2 linked regions of the Rattus norvegicus genome follow. Each later gene encodes a partner of the first gene's protein in a complex. Links are inferred from orthologs where the notes say so. Each region holds a gene or a part of one and is shown in the gene's direction. Other genes may lie near its edges.

Region 1 (6,884 bases):
GCTAAAGCTGGCTTTGAATTCAGTATGTCACTGAGGATAACCAGGAGCCCATACCTCCCAAGAGATGGAGTTACAGGTGTGTAGCAACACGTTAGATTTATGTGATCCTGGAGCTCAGACTCAGGGCTCCATGCATGCTAGGCAAGCACATTACCAAATGAGAAACATGCCCAATCTCAAGAGATTGTAGTTATCTGACTGAAGTATCCACTTCAAAGTGTCTTACATGGTCAGGAAGGTGTGGTTGCTAGCTGGTCCAGGAAGAGAAAAGATGAGAAAAGGTTAGGTTTCATTTTCTTATTAGGGTTGTCAGATCCTGGGATGCTCTCTTGCCCTCCTTCCCTTCCTCTTTTTCTCTTCTGAGTGGGGTTTGAGATAGGTAGCCCAGATTGGCTTCTATGCAGCCAAGGCTGATCTCGAAATCCTCGTCTTCCTTCCTCCACTTTCACCTCCAAGGACTAGATTACAAACACATGCCAACTGTCTGTCTGTCCTGTCTTTCTTTCTGTCTGCCCTTTCTTTCTTCCTTTCTTTCCAAAGATTTATTTATTTTATTTATATGAGTACACTGTAGTTGTCTTCAGACACACCAGAAGAGGGCATTAGATCCCATTACAGATGGTTGTGAACCACCATGTGGTTGCTGGGATTTGAACTCAGGACCGCTGGAAGAGCAGTCAGTGCTCTTAACCATCTCTCCAGCCCCTTCCTTCCTTCCTTTCTTTCTTTCTTCCTTTCTTATCTTACTATGTAGACCAGGCTGGCTTCACCTTGAATAAGCCTTGGCCTCTTGAGTGTTGGAATTACAGTCATGAACCATCACACCTGGCTTCACCTTGTTTTAGTACTCAAACCATGCCTGGCTTACTCCCCAGCAACCAATCCAAGAGAGGAAGGCAGGAACCACAGGTCTCTATGGCCTCACCTAATATGTCACACGCCACTACTTCCGCATTATTAATTATTATTAAGTTAACGAAAAAACAATAATAGAAACTGTGAGACTATAATCTTCAGGTAAGGGAATTAGTTTCAATAAATTGCTAGAAAGCAGGCAAACTGGTAAGAGCCAGGGCAAATTAAGTAGTTCTCTTAGAAGACACCGTTCTCTTAGAGGACACGATACACTGTCTTGGAGGAGAGTGAATTTAAGGCTAAGGAGATTTACTCTTATCCTGAAGTCAGAATGGAAAGATTTAACTCCGCAGCATGCAAGCTAGACTGTGGGGGAAGGGGAGCAAACCTAAGAACAGAGAAGTCAGACTGCCCTATGGTCAGGAAGATCCAGGGTTGAGTCAGACGGTTCAGCTCCTACAGAGATGAGTACAATTGACTACTGCAGTCACTTTGAAGTGAAGTCACGGTGGACACTATCAAGACAACCGAGGGTAGGGTGGCCTGGAACAGGGTTCTTTTGTTTTTGTTTTTTTGGAGATACAGTATCTTGCATATCAGGCTGGCCTCGAAATTCCTACTGAGGATGACCTTGAACTCCTGATCCTTCTGTTGATAAATTTGAAGGTGACTCGGTAAGACTCCCATCTAAAGAGAAAAAGATGGAGCTTTACTGGCTGACATACTTAAGGGTGCTCTGAGAGGTGAGAGAGCAGTATTTTCCTGCAGTTGTTTCGTCGACAGGGATGGGATTTGAATTCAACCTTGCGTGTGCTTGACAAGTGATCTACTACTGAGTTACATTCCCAGCCCTTGTTTGAATTTACTATCATTGTAATAATTCAGATGTAATTCTCAGAGATAGAAGAGCACACCCCAGGGCCTGGGACTCAGATGGCTTAGTGGGTAAGGGCATAGCCACCAACCTGAGGACATTAGTTCTTCCCTAGAACCCACATGCAAGTTGTCCTCTGACCTCACACAGTAAACCAATGCAATAATTTTGAAAAAGATTGCATTAGAAGGGACATTATGTTAGCAAAAGTTTTAAGAGTCAAATATATTTCTTTTACTTCTTTTCCAAGTTCCTTTTCATCAAGTGCAGCATTAGTTAACTAGACAGATGGTACTCATGATCGTCTCCTTTTAAATATACACAATCCATCTTACTCCACTAGCCATTAATTCCTGAAATCTAAATATACGTTTATCTGACCACCTTACACGCATATAGCACGATCACCACTTGCTGTACAGTCTTTTTCTGTGTCTTTTCCATCTTCGTTCTATTATTTCTCCTTCTTCACAAATTAAATCTCTCACTCTTTGTCTCCCTTTCTTGTCATTCCTTCCATTTTCCTCTATTTGGAAACAACCGATTCTATAATATCAGTTTACTTTTTTGTCGGGTAGGGGATACTGGGATAATTATTTTCTCCCGGTCTCAGTTTCCCCTGTAAAGTGGCACTTAATAGATGTGTCCTGCCTTCCAGGGTTTTCAAAATGACAAGGAATATGTTAGATACCTAGCAGAGTCCCTGGTAACCGATATGCTGGGGCCCTTTTCCCCTGGCTTTTAATCTTCTTACCTGTATTCCCCTACCCCACCCTCACTCCAGAGTCCAGGTAAAAGCTGTGTGTTGGGGGGGAAAAAGTCCTGGATGCTAAAAGAGGAAATGCTGGAGTTGGGGGCGGGGACTGAGAAGTGACCTGTGCGCATGTGCAGCCGCTGGGTCAGGCTCTGGCTTGGAGCTGGGGAGGCGGGGTGGGGGGGTGGGGGGGGTCGGGCTGCATAATGAGGACTGGGGGTTTTTTGGATGCCCCCTTCCGGCTCCGCGAGACGGCGGGACCTTGGCGGTCCCCCGAGCGAGCGCGACGCTAATCGAGGGCTGCTCGGCTCGAGAGGTAGGTTGGAAGATGGCGGAGTGGGAAAGAAGGAGGGGCTCTGCCGGGCGGGAGCAGAGTTCGGGGGGGAGGGGGGGACATGGCCTGAGGCCAGTGGCTGGGCGCGCCCGGGAAGCTGGCGGACTGCACTGGTTGGCTTTTTTTTTTTTTTTAAAGTCCTGACGTGGATGCACTTGGTTCCGGTCTTCGAGTTTTCTCCAAAGGGACTGTCCTGCCTGGGAAGGCCAAGGGAGGGAGAGGGAGGGAGACATAGTGACTTCCGTTTCCTTCTCCTAGGCCGGGGCCCGCCGCCCAGCAGAGTTGTGTTTTTCCTGATCGGGGCTCGGGCCGCCCCTCCTCCGGGACCCTCCCCTCGGGAACCGTCGCCCGCGGCGGTTAGTTAGGACTGGATTGCTTGGCGCGGTGGGTACAGCTCTTGTGGGTTTCTCACCCTCCCCTCCTCTCCCTCTGCTCCCCTCCCCTCCCTTTCCTCTCCCCTCTCCTCTCCCCTCCCCTCCTTCCCCTCTGCTCTGCTCTTCCCTCCCTCCTTCTCCTCCCCCTCCCTCGTCCTTCTGAGTCCCTCCTCCTCCCCTCCTTCCTTCTCCCCCTTCTCCCCCTCCTTCCTTCTCCCCCTTCTCCGTTTCCCTCCCTCCTTTTCTTTCCCTCCTTTTCTTCCCCCTCCCTTCCGCTTGGGCTAGCTCTGTTTAGTTGGGCGGGAAGGCCGCGCCCGCCCTAGGGGAATGCTGGCCTGGGCTCCCTGTCCAGGTTCCCGGGATTGCCCCCTGGAAGCCGTGGGTAGGGTGGCTGGCTTCAAGCCTTCAGGTCAGCCTCCTTAAACTTCGTGACACCTAAGGTAAATCTAGTTAAATAATTACAAAAAAAAAAAAAAATACGATCAACCTCCCTGCCCTCCGAATCTGATGCCTTGTATGGGGCAGGGTGGTGTGTCTCTGGCAAGGGTGGTATGAACCCAAAAGAATGAGGGCCAGAGAGCTTCCAGAGGAGGAAATAGCTGGTCATTTTTGCCTCTCTTTGTCACCTTGGTCACTTCCCCAGCATATTTCTGAAAGAAAAAAAAATGTCACTTTGACTTTCAGTTTCATTATTTTAACTCCACAGTTTACTTGAATTGTGGGGTATTTTTCTTTTAAGCAAGGGGAGTAGTGATTGCTGAAACTAAGCAGTGGCTCTCCCCATCTAAAAAGGAAAGCATTAATGGAAGCCTTGGGGAAAACAAACATCAGATTTTAATAATCTACTACTTTGCCTTCAAGTACAGTTATAACACTACTTCTGACATCCCATCTATACCTTAATAGTGAACAAGTTGTAGAAATAGACCAGAAACTGCTATTTTTCGTTTTCTCCTTAATGGGATTTTTTTTTTTAGTCAGTTCAAGAGAACACTGTTAAGAGCCGGCCATCTTAGACTTATACCATTTTTGAGTTGGGAAGGATCTCAGCTCAAACTCTTTTGTTTTACTAAGCAGAAACTAAGGCTCAGGATTTCATGACTTGTCTAAGGTTACCATGCCAGTTAGATTAGAACTTGGTTTCTGGCTTCCTGGCCACCACACTCCTGTTGCTTCATGTAAGCTCTAAACAAATATCTTAGTATATTCTATTTAACATTTATGTCTAGCATAATACTACTTTGTCTCAATGTCTGCACCATTTTCAGTGTACTGAACATGTATGTGAAGATTGTGCCTGGGATTGTTTTCCCCCATAACTTATGAATGGAAAACATTTTAGGCCAGATAGATTTATAGCTACAGACACAGAAACAGAAGCTTAGATCTGTCTGGATTGGGTCACATGGATCCTTGAAAGAGATACAGAAAAAATGCTAACCCTGGTTACTTCCGAAGAAGAGGAATGAAAACCTTTGCTTTTCTCCTGTGCCTTGTATGTTTGGATATTTTCTAATAAACACGTTTGATTTTATTCCCAAAAGTTTTAAAGCTGACATAGAGGTATATCAACATAAGTATTTGCAATCAGTATTTATGAACATCCATTTATCAATGATTTTTATTGTAAAATCCAGTATGGCTTATGCTGTTTTAACAGAACAGGCTCAATTACTTGAGTGTTTGTTTCTCTTTTGGCTTTCACCAATTGTTCTGTATTCATGTGAAATGGTAAAAAGGTTAGTCTTTATTTTATTTGAAAAAAAAATACATATGGTGAGCCTCCCGATGATCAAATAGTATAGCAAACTATGAAACTCACACATCAAATTTGTCATATAGATAAATCTGACTCACAGAATCTTTTGGGATTAAAGTTACTTTTAAAAAGTTATGCATGTAAAAATTGTATTGGTATATGTAGTTCAGTATAGTAGAGTAAATACTTGCTTAACATCTATAGGGCTCTGGGTGTGATTTTTTTTTTTTTTGAGCATATCAAAGAAAATGTTAAAATTCGATCAAAATGTATTATGTAATTTGTGAAACTAAAATAACCTGCTATTTTGTACAATGACGATACACCAGTAGAAGAAAGGAAGGGGAAAGAAAGCTAGATGTGATGGCTTCCTTCCATCTATAATCCCAACACTGTGCAGTCAGTGCGGGAGAATTGCAAATCCAAGTCGGCCTGGGCTATGTAGTGAGACCCTGCCTCACAAACAAAGTTGGGTAGGACAGTTGACTCTGTGTAAATGCCCTGGCTGCTCTTTCAGAGGACTGGAGTTCTATTCCCAGCACTCACACATCTGCAGCTCCAGTCCCAGAGGATTCAATGGTGCTTTTGGCTTCCATGAGCACTGCATGCATGTGATACACATATATGCATGCAGGCAAATACCCATACACGTAAAATAATAAAACAGAGTCAGGGCTCACACTTGTAACCTGTGCATTTGGTAGGAAGAGGATCAAGAGTTCAGAACCAGCTTGGGCTACATCATATCCTGTATAAGCAGAATCAGAATCAATAAAACTTTTATATTGTGTGGCATTGTTTGGTACTTAAGTGTTTGGTTTTTGTGCCCTCATTATCACTCCTCAGACATGTTATACAGTTTTTTTTCTAGGATCCAGGATCCCTTTTTTTTTTTTTTAGAGCTGGGGACTGAACCCAGGGCCTTGCCTTAGTAGGCAAGCGCTCTACCACTGAGCTAAATCCCCAACCCCCATGTTATACAATTTTAAAAATGGTAAATGTTTTGGGTTGGAGGTAAAAGCCTCAAAGGATTTGGGGGTGTGCATCAGTCCAGCATAGTATACCCTAGGCTCTGAAGTCAGTATCTAAAGAAAAAAGACTGGACATATCCCCACCCTTGAATTCTGTACTCTCATTGACAGAAAGGCTAATGAAGACTTAGGTGAAAGATGAATTGCTCAGAGTTATCTTGTTTATTGTTAACAGACTGTCTTAGTCTAGAACTCCTGTAATTAATTGTATTGCTTTCTAGTGCATTCAATGAGACCAAGTAAAATAACAAAGTTATGCTAGCTAAAAGTTAGACATATTTTAGTGGGCAAGCATTTTACTTCATGTGGCAGCTAATTCAGTAGAACACTTACAGTTTTGACACAGATATCCCCCTTAACTTTCATTTTGTACATTTATTTAGTATATTCTCTGTATTTAATGATTGGAGACTAAATATAACATAATGAGATTTCACTGGTTTTGCTTAATCTAATCGTCTAGTACTAAGTGCTGGGGGGGAGCTAAGGTTTAGAAAATAAACATCTATTGAGTACTTATTATGTGCTAGACACTGCACTGTGGTATGGGTCTAAAGATGACTACATACTACATATAGTGATACGCATTTGTAATTTTTGAACTTGGCAAATTGAGGCAGGAAGGTAACATTTTCCAGGACACCCTGGGCTACATATTGAGAGCTCCCATCTTAGAAAAAAAGCACTAAAGGATGAATATGTTAAAGTGCCCTTGTTATTTTGAGGCAAGAAGATTATAAGCTGTCCATTCTTAAAGTTTATCTCCAGTAATCTGTTAATAGTGTTATGTAAGCTGTTAGCATTGTTTAAGGTCATTGTGCATGGCTATTTGAGAAGACAAGTGGTATTAGAAAATGAGAGATTGGGGTTGGGGATTTAGCTCAGTGGTAGAGCGCTTGCCTA
Region 2 (4,157 bases), on another chromosome or scaffold:
TTCAGGACTAGCCTGGAAAAGGTCACTGTTTACAGTGAGATAAATTATAGTGTCAATGGAAGTCTTCATTTTTTTTTTAAGAATTGCCAGTTGAATTGTTTTAAAAAAGCAAATCATTTTTCTGTGAGCCACGGCTTACCCCAACATTTACCTCGACAGTTCAGGGACCACACCAGCATTAAATAAAAAGGAAAGTAGGCATATTAAGGTAGTTATGCCCTCACATTTGCCTGGGGTGAGTCTTTCATCCAGAAAGTGCCCACACTGGTTGAGATTTTAGAGATAGTGCCGAAACTCTGGGGTTTAAGGAAAAGCACACTAGCAAATAAAATAGCCCTAATGGCTTTGGAGACCTGTAGGGCCGTGAAGCCAAGTATCTCTGGTATGCCCAGAACCACAGTTCTCTCCCATAACTCTCTTGAGTGAGTGAATGAGCTGTTCTGAGGACTCTCGGTGGAGGTGAGGAATGGGAATCCTCTACAGATGGGTGCCCAGACATATCTGTCTGTCTGTCTGTGTTGGACGTGACATGAACAGGAACCCAAGTTAGTTCACTGTCTGCTTCCTCATACCTAGTGCCTGACACGGGAGAGAGCATACATGCAATGATTTTGGTGCAATATCCATGCAAGCTGGGGTTGGGAGGTGTAAACTTGCTTAAGGTGAAGTTCGCGTTCGTGCCCTAGCATCCCCCTTCACAAGGGAAGACATCAGACTAAAGCGACTGGTCGTGCACAGGATCTGGTCGAGATGCAGACTGCGTTAGGAAAAAGTGAAAAGGACAAGACAGGAGCCCCACTGTTGAAGGCAAGTCAAATCTTTATGTCAATCTGCTGTATAGACAGTTTTGTACAATGCGCTCTCAGTGGGACTTTGGACGTTTACAGTTTTAGAATCTCTTAGCACTATCTCTGGTGAGCGCGGGGAAATTTGCATACGTAGCACCGGACACGGTCCCGATTTGCAGGACCACTCTCCTCTGGAGACACTGGCCAATTTTGCAGAGGTCTGGACAATGCTCGTAGTTAGATTTTTCAGAGCACGTGACAGATTTGCAGAGGTTAGCCCCGGGTCATTTTTCTGGCGGGCAGTTTTGCAGAGCCTGCGGGCCCGCCAGTTCTGTAGAGAGCGCTCTACCCGCTCCGTTCCCGATCCGGCTGGGGTCGCCCAAAGCTTGCAGAAGGCGGGACACAGCACGTGGGTGGCGAGGGCTTCCCGCTCGAGCTTCCCGTGCGAGCTTCTCCCGCGGCTGGCTCCGTAAAGCGCTCCCTCAGCTTCCCGGGCACAGCTCCGCCCGGCTCGCCCGGCCCGCCCGCTCCTCCCCCTACGCCTCCGGGACTTTTACTTTCAGTTTCCCTAAAGCTGCCCTCGCCCCTCGCGGAGGACGCACGCCGTCGTGGGCTGCTGGCTGCCGCTGTGGGAACGGTAACTTGGGCCGCCATCGCGGCTTTCCCGCCCTTCTTCCGCGCGGTCCCTCCTCCCGCGCGTCCCCGCCCCGGGTCGCCCTCCCTCCCGCAGGCTCGCAGAACCTGCTTGCAAGGCACTGTGGCTCTGGCTCGGAAGGCTGCCGGCTCTCCATGCCCTCAAGCCAGCGCTGGCTTTGCTCAGCATGGCGTCCCGTGGCCTCCTGGTCTGGGGTCTGGCGACATCCGGTGCCATTCCGGATGTAACAGGGAAAAAAGAGCGGGTGTAGGCTGTAGATGTGGCTGTTTGAACCCGCAAGGACTACCTTGTCAGATTGGCCTGGAGCTTAGGCGCCGCCGGTCCACTCAATGGGAATCTTGGGCCGTCCTGGTGACTTATGCTCAGGGAAGGAGGGAGTTAGGTGCACAGATCTTTGACCAAGGCAAAGTGTGCTTGAACTGCTCTTTCTTGTCGGGGAACTTCGCATCGGGACTCTTGCAGTGACTTAAGATGGTGAAAAACTTGGCAGTGCGGGCTCCAGGCGACACCTCATCTTTACTCATTGGGCTTTCGGGTTTATGGGAAAATAAGTTTCCTGGGAGGCGCAGGTGGTGTTTGTAAGTAGTTCACAGTTCTTTCTCTTGAACTGAGCGTACTGACGAGGCCCAGGTTTTCTGTTTGACAAGCTATCTCTTCCTTCAGAGTTTGACCAGCCTGACCTTACACACACACACACACACACACACACACACACACACACACACACACACACACACACACACACACGCCCTTCCTCCCTCCTTCCCTCCCTCCCTCCATACTGTTAAGGCCTTCTGCAGAGAACGTGGGCAAAGTCTCTGGTTACCTAACCCTGTGAACCTCAGGTGGGTAGTGTGGCGGCCTCAGGACTTTTTCACTTAAGGGAGAGTGAATTTGGCAGGAGGCGAGTCTGTTCGATGTCACTGTGTTAGGGAAGGGCAGCCTGCCTCCTCAGGAATATGTAAGTTCAGGCAGTAGCCAGACCCACCCTCAGTACCTGTTCGAGTCTACTTTCTGTTGCGGGGTAGACACCGTGACCATAGAGAGGAAAGGTTTTATTTCATTTGACTATTTCGGGTCACAGTCTGTCATTGCGGGAAGTCGAGGCAGGAACCTGGAGGCAGGAAATCTGATGACACTCAGCTAGCATTTATACACGGCCCGGACCCAGCTGACTACGGCTGGCACCACTACCGAGGGTGGGGCCCTCCCACACCAGTCGTTAGTCAAGACACTTCTCCACAGACATAGCCACAGGCCAGTCTGATCTGGCAACTCCTCAGGTGAGATTTCCTGTTCCTGGGTGACTCTAGGCTGTGTCAACTTAACAATAAAAAAACTAGACACCACACCTGTTCTCGAGGTTCTGGGGAAGCTCTCAAGGCAGGCGGCATCCCAGTATCCCAGTGGCCAAAGTCTTGCAAATAGGAACAGCCACACTGTAAGACAGGGGGAGTTCGGGGTAGCCCAGCAGTGGCCAGACGTATTGTTTTCTAAGCAACTTCTTGGGAACTAATACATACAGAGCCCCAGTGATTCCTTAGTGCATCCCATCTCCACAACTCACGTAGGGGACTAGCTTTCCAACCCAGGAGCCTCTGGGGGACCAGTGACAGCCAAACCATAACAGCAGGCATCACACATCTTAACGCCATTTAACGAAGACATCCCGTGCCTCTTTACGGTGGGCAAGCACTGTCTCTAATGCTCTTTGCAGCCCCTGAAGAAGGTACCAAAAAGTCATGCTAGGATGTTCCCTCAGGCCGCACTGTTGAACCCAGATGAGATGGCTTTCTCAGAGGGTTTGGAGATAAAACCAGGACTCAAAACCAAGAGTTGGCCTGACTGTAATGACGTCACCGAGGTTAAGCACCCCACTTGGTCACTACCTGAGATCCTTGAATGTTGCCAAGACTCAAGCAGATCAGCACAGGGATGAGGAAGCTACTGGGTGCTTAGCCTTCCTGATTAAAGAGTCAAGTCCACTGCCACTGATGTGGGCTGTTAGCAGGAAGGATTGAGACTTAGACTCCTGCATTTAAGATGTATTATAGCTCCCAGTGTCAGGCATCTCATTCTCTGGTCTGCTCTGATGTTGTGGGTCTGTGGTGACGGGGCAGGACATCCTGGTGGTGAGTGTACGGTGAAGCAAAGTTGTTGACCTCAGGGCAACCAGGAAGATGCTTTAGGCCTCGCAACAGATGGCGGTGTGAGCATTGTGAAGAAGACACATGGCGAAGTCTCCCACTGACACCAGCTAGGACTGACATGGTTGTGTCATCCGCTGGAGCAGAGTCAGTGTTCGTAAGGAACACAGACTCTCCCTCCCCTAGCAGTCAATAGTTTCTCAGCAAGGAGTGGGTTCCTTATGTCTTCAGGCCTGTGTCAGCTTTCTGTCAGTATAATAAGTACCTGAGGTGATCAATTTAGAAAGAGTAGTCTGTTCTGGGTCACCATTTTAGAGCTTCCAGCCCGTGATTACCCAGGCCGGTTGCTGCGGACCTTGTACTGATGGAGCGCAAGCTGGTATATACTGGTCGGTTTTTCCTCACAGTGATCAAAATCTGAGAGGGCAGCCTGAAGAGATTTCTCCCTTTACAGCGGTGGTTCCTAACCTTCCTAAAGCTGTAACCGTTTAATACAGCATCTCATGGTGTGGCTGCCCTCAATCATAAATTATTCTGTTGTTACTTGATAACTTTAATTTTGCCACT

Evidence for each region.
Region 2: the proteins of Xiap (region 1) and Casp7 are in contact, whole or in part, in a crystal structure (PDB 1I51), measured with the Homo sapiens proteins. The link is inferred for Rattus norvegicus from reciprocal best matches to the Homo sapiens genes XIAP and CASP7. Residues at the interface, in NP_001158.2 of Homo sapiens: His136, Ala137, Leu140, Leu141, Gly144, Gln145, Val146, Val147, Asp148, Ile149, Ser150, Asp151; in NP_001218.1 of Homo sapiens: Tyr230, Trp232, Arg233, Ser234, Pro235, Gly236, Arg237, Trp240, Glu274, Ser275, Gln276, Asp279, His281, Phe282.

Annotation. Positions count from the first base shown.
Region 1 is NC_086039.1:125,760,879-125,767,762, forward strand, and holds the start of Xiap (E3 ubiquitin-protein ligase XIAP), read left to right. Parts: upstream 1-2,627; 5' UTR 2,628-2,711; coding exon of another isoform or gene 2,712-2,799; intron 2,800-3,075; 5' UTR 3,076-3,201; intron 3,202-6,884.
Region 2 is NC_086019.1:265,441,290-265,445,446, forward strand, and holds the start of Casp7 (caspase-7), read left to right. Parts: upstream 1-1,357; 5' UTR 1,358-1,425; intron 1,426-4,157. UniProt on the Homo sapiens protein: Thiol protease involved in different programmed cell death processes, such as apoptosis, pyroptosis or granzyme-mediated programmed cell death, by proteolytically cleaving target proteins.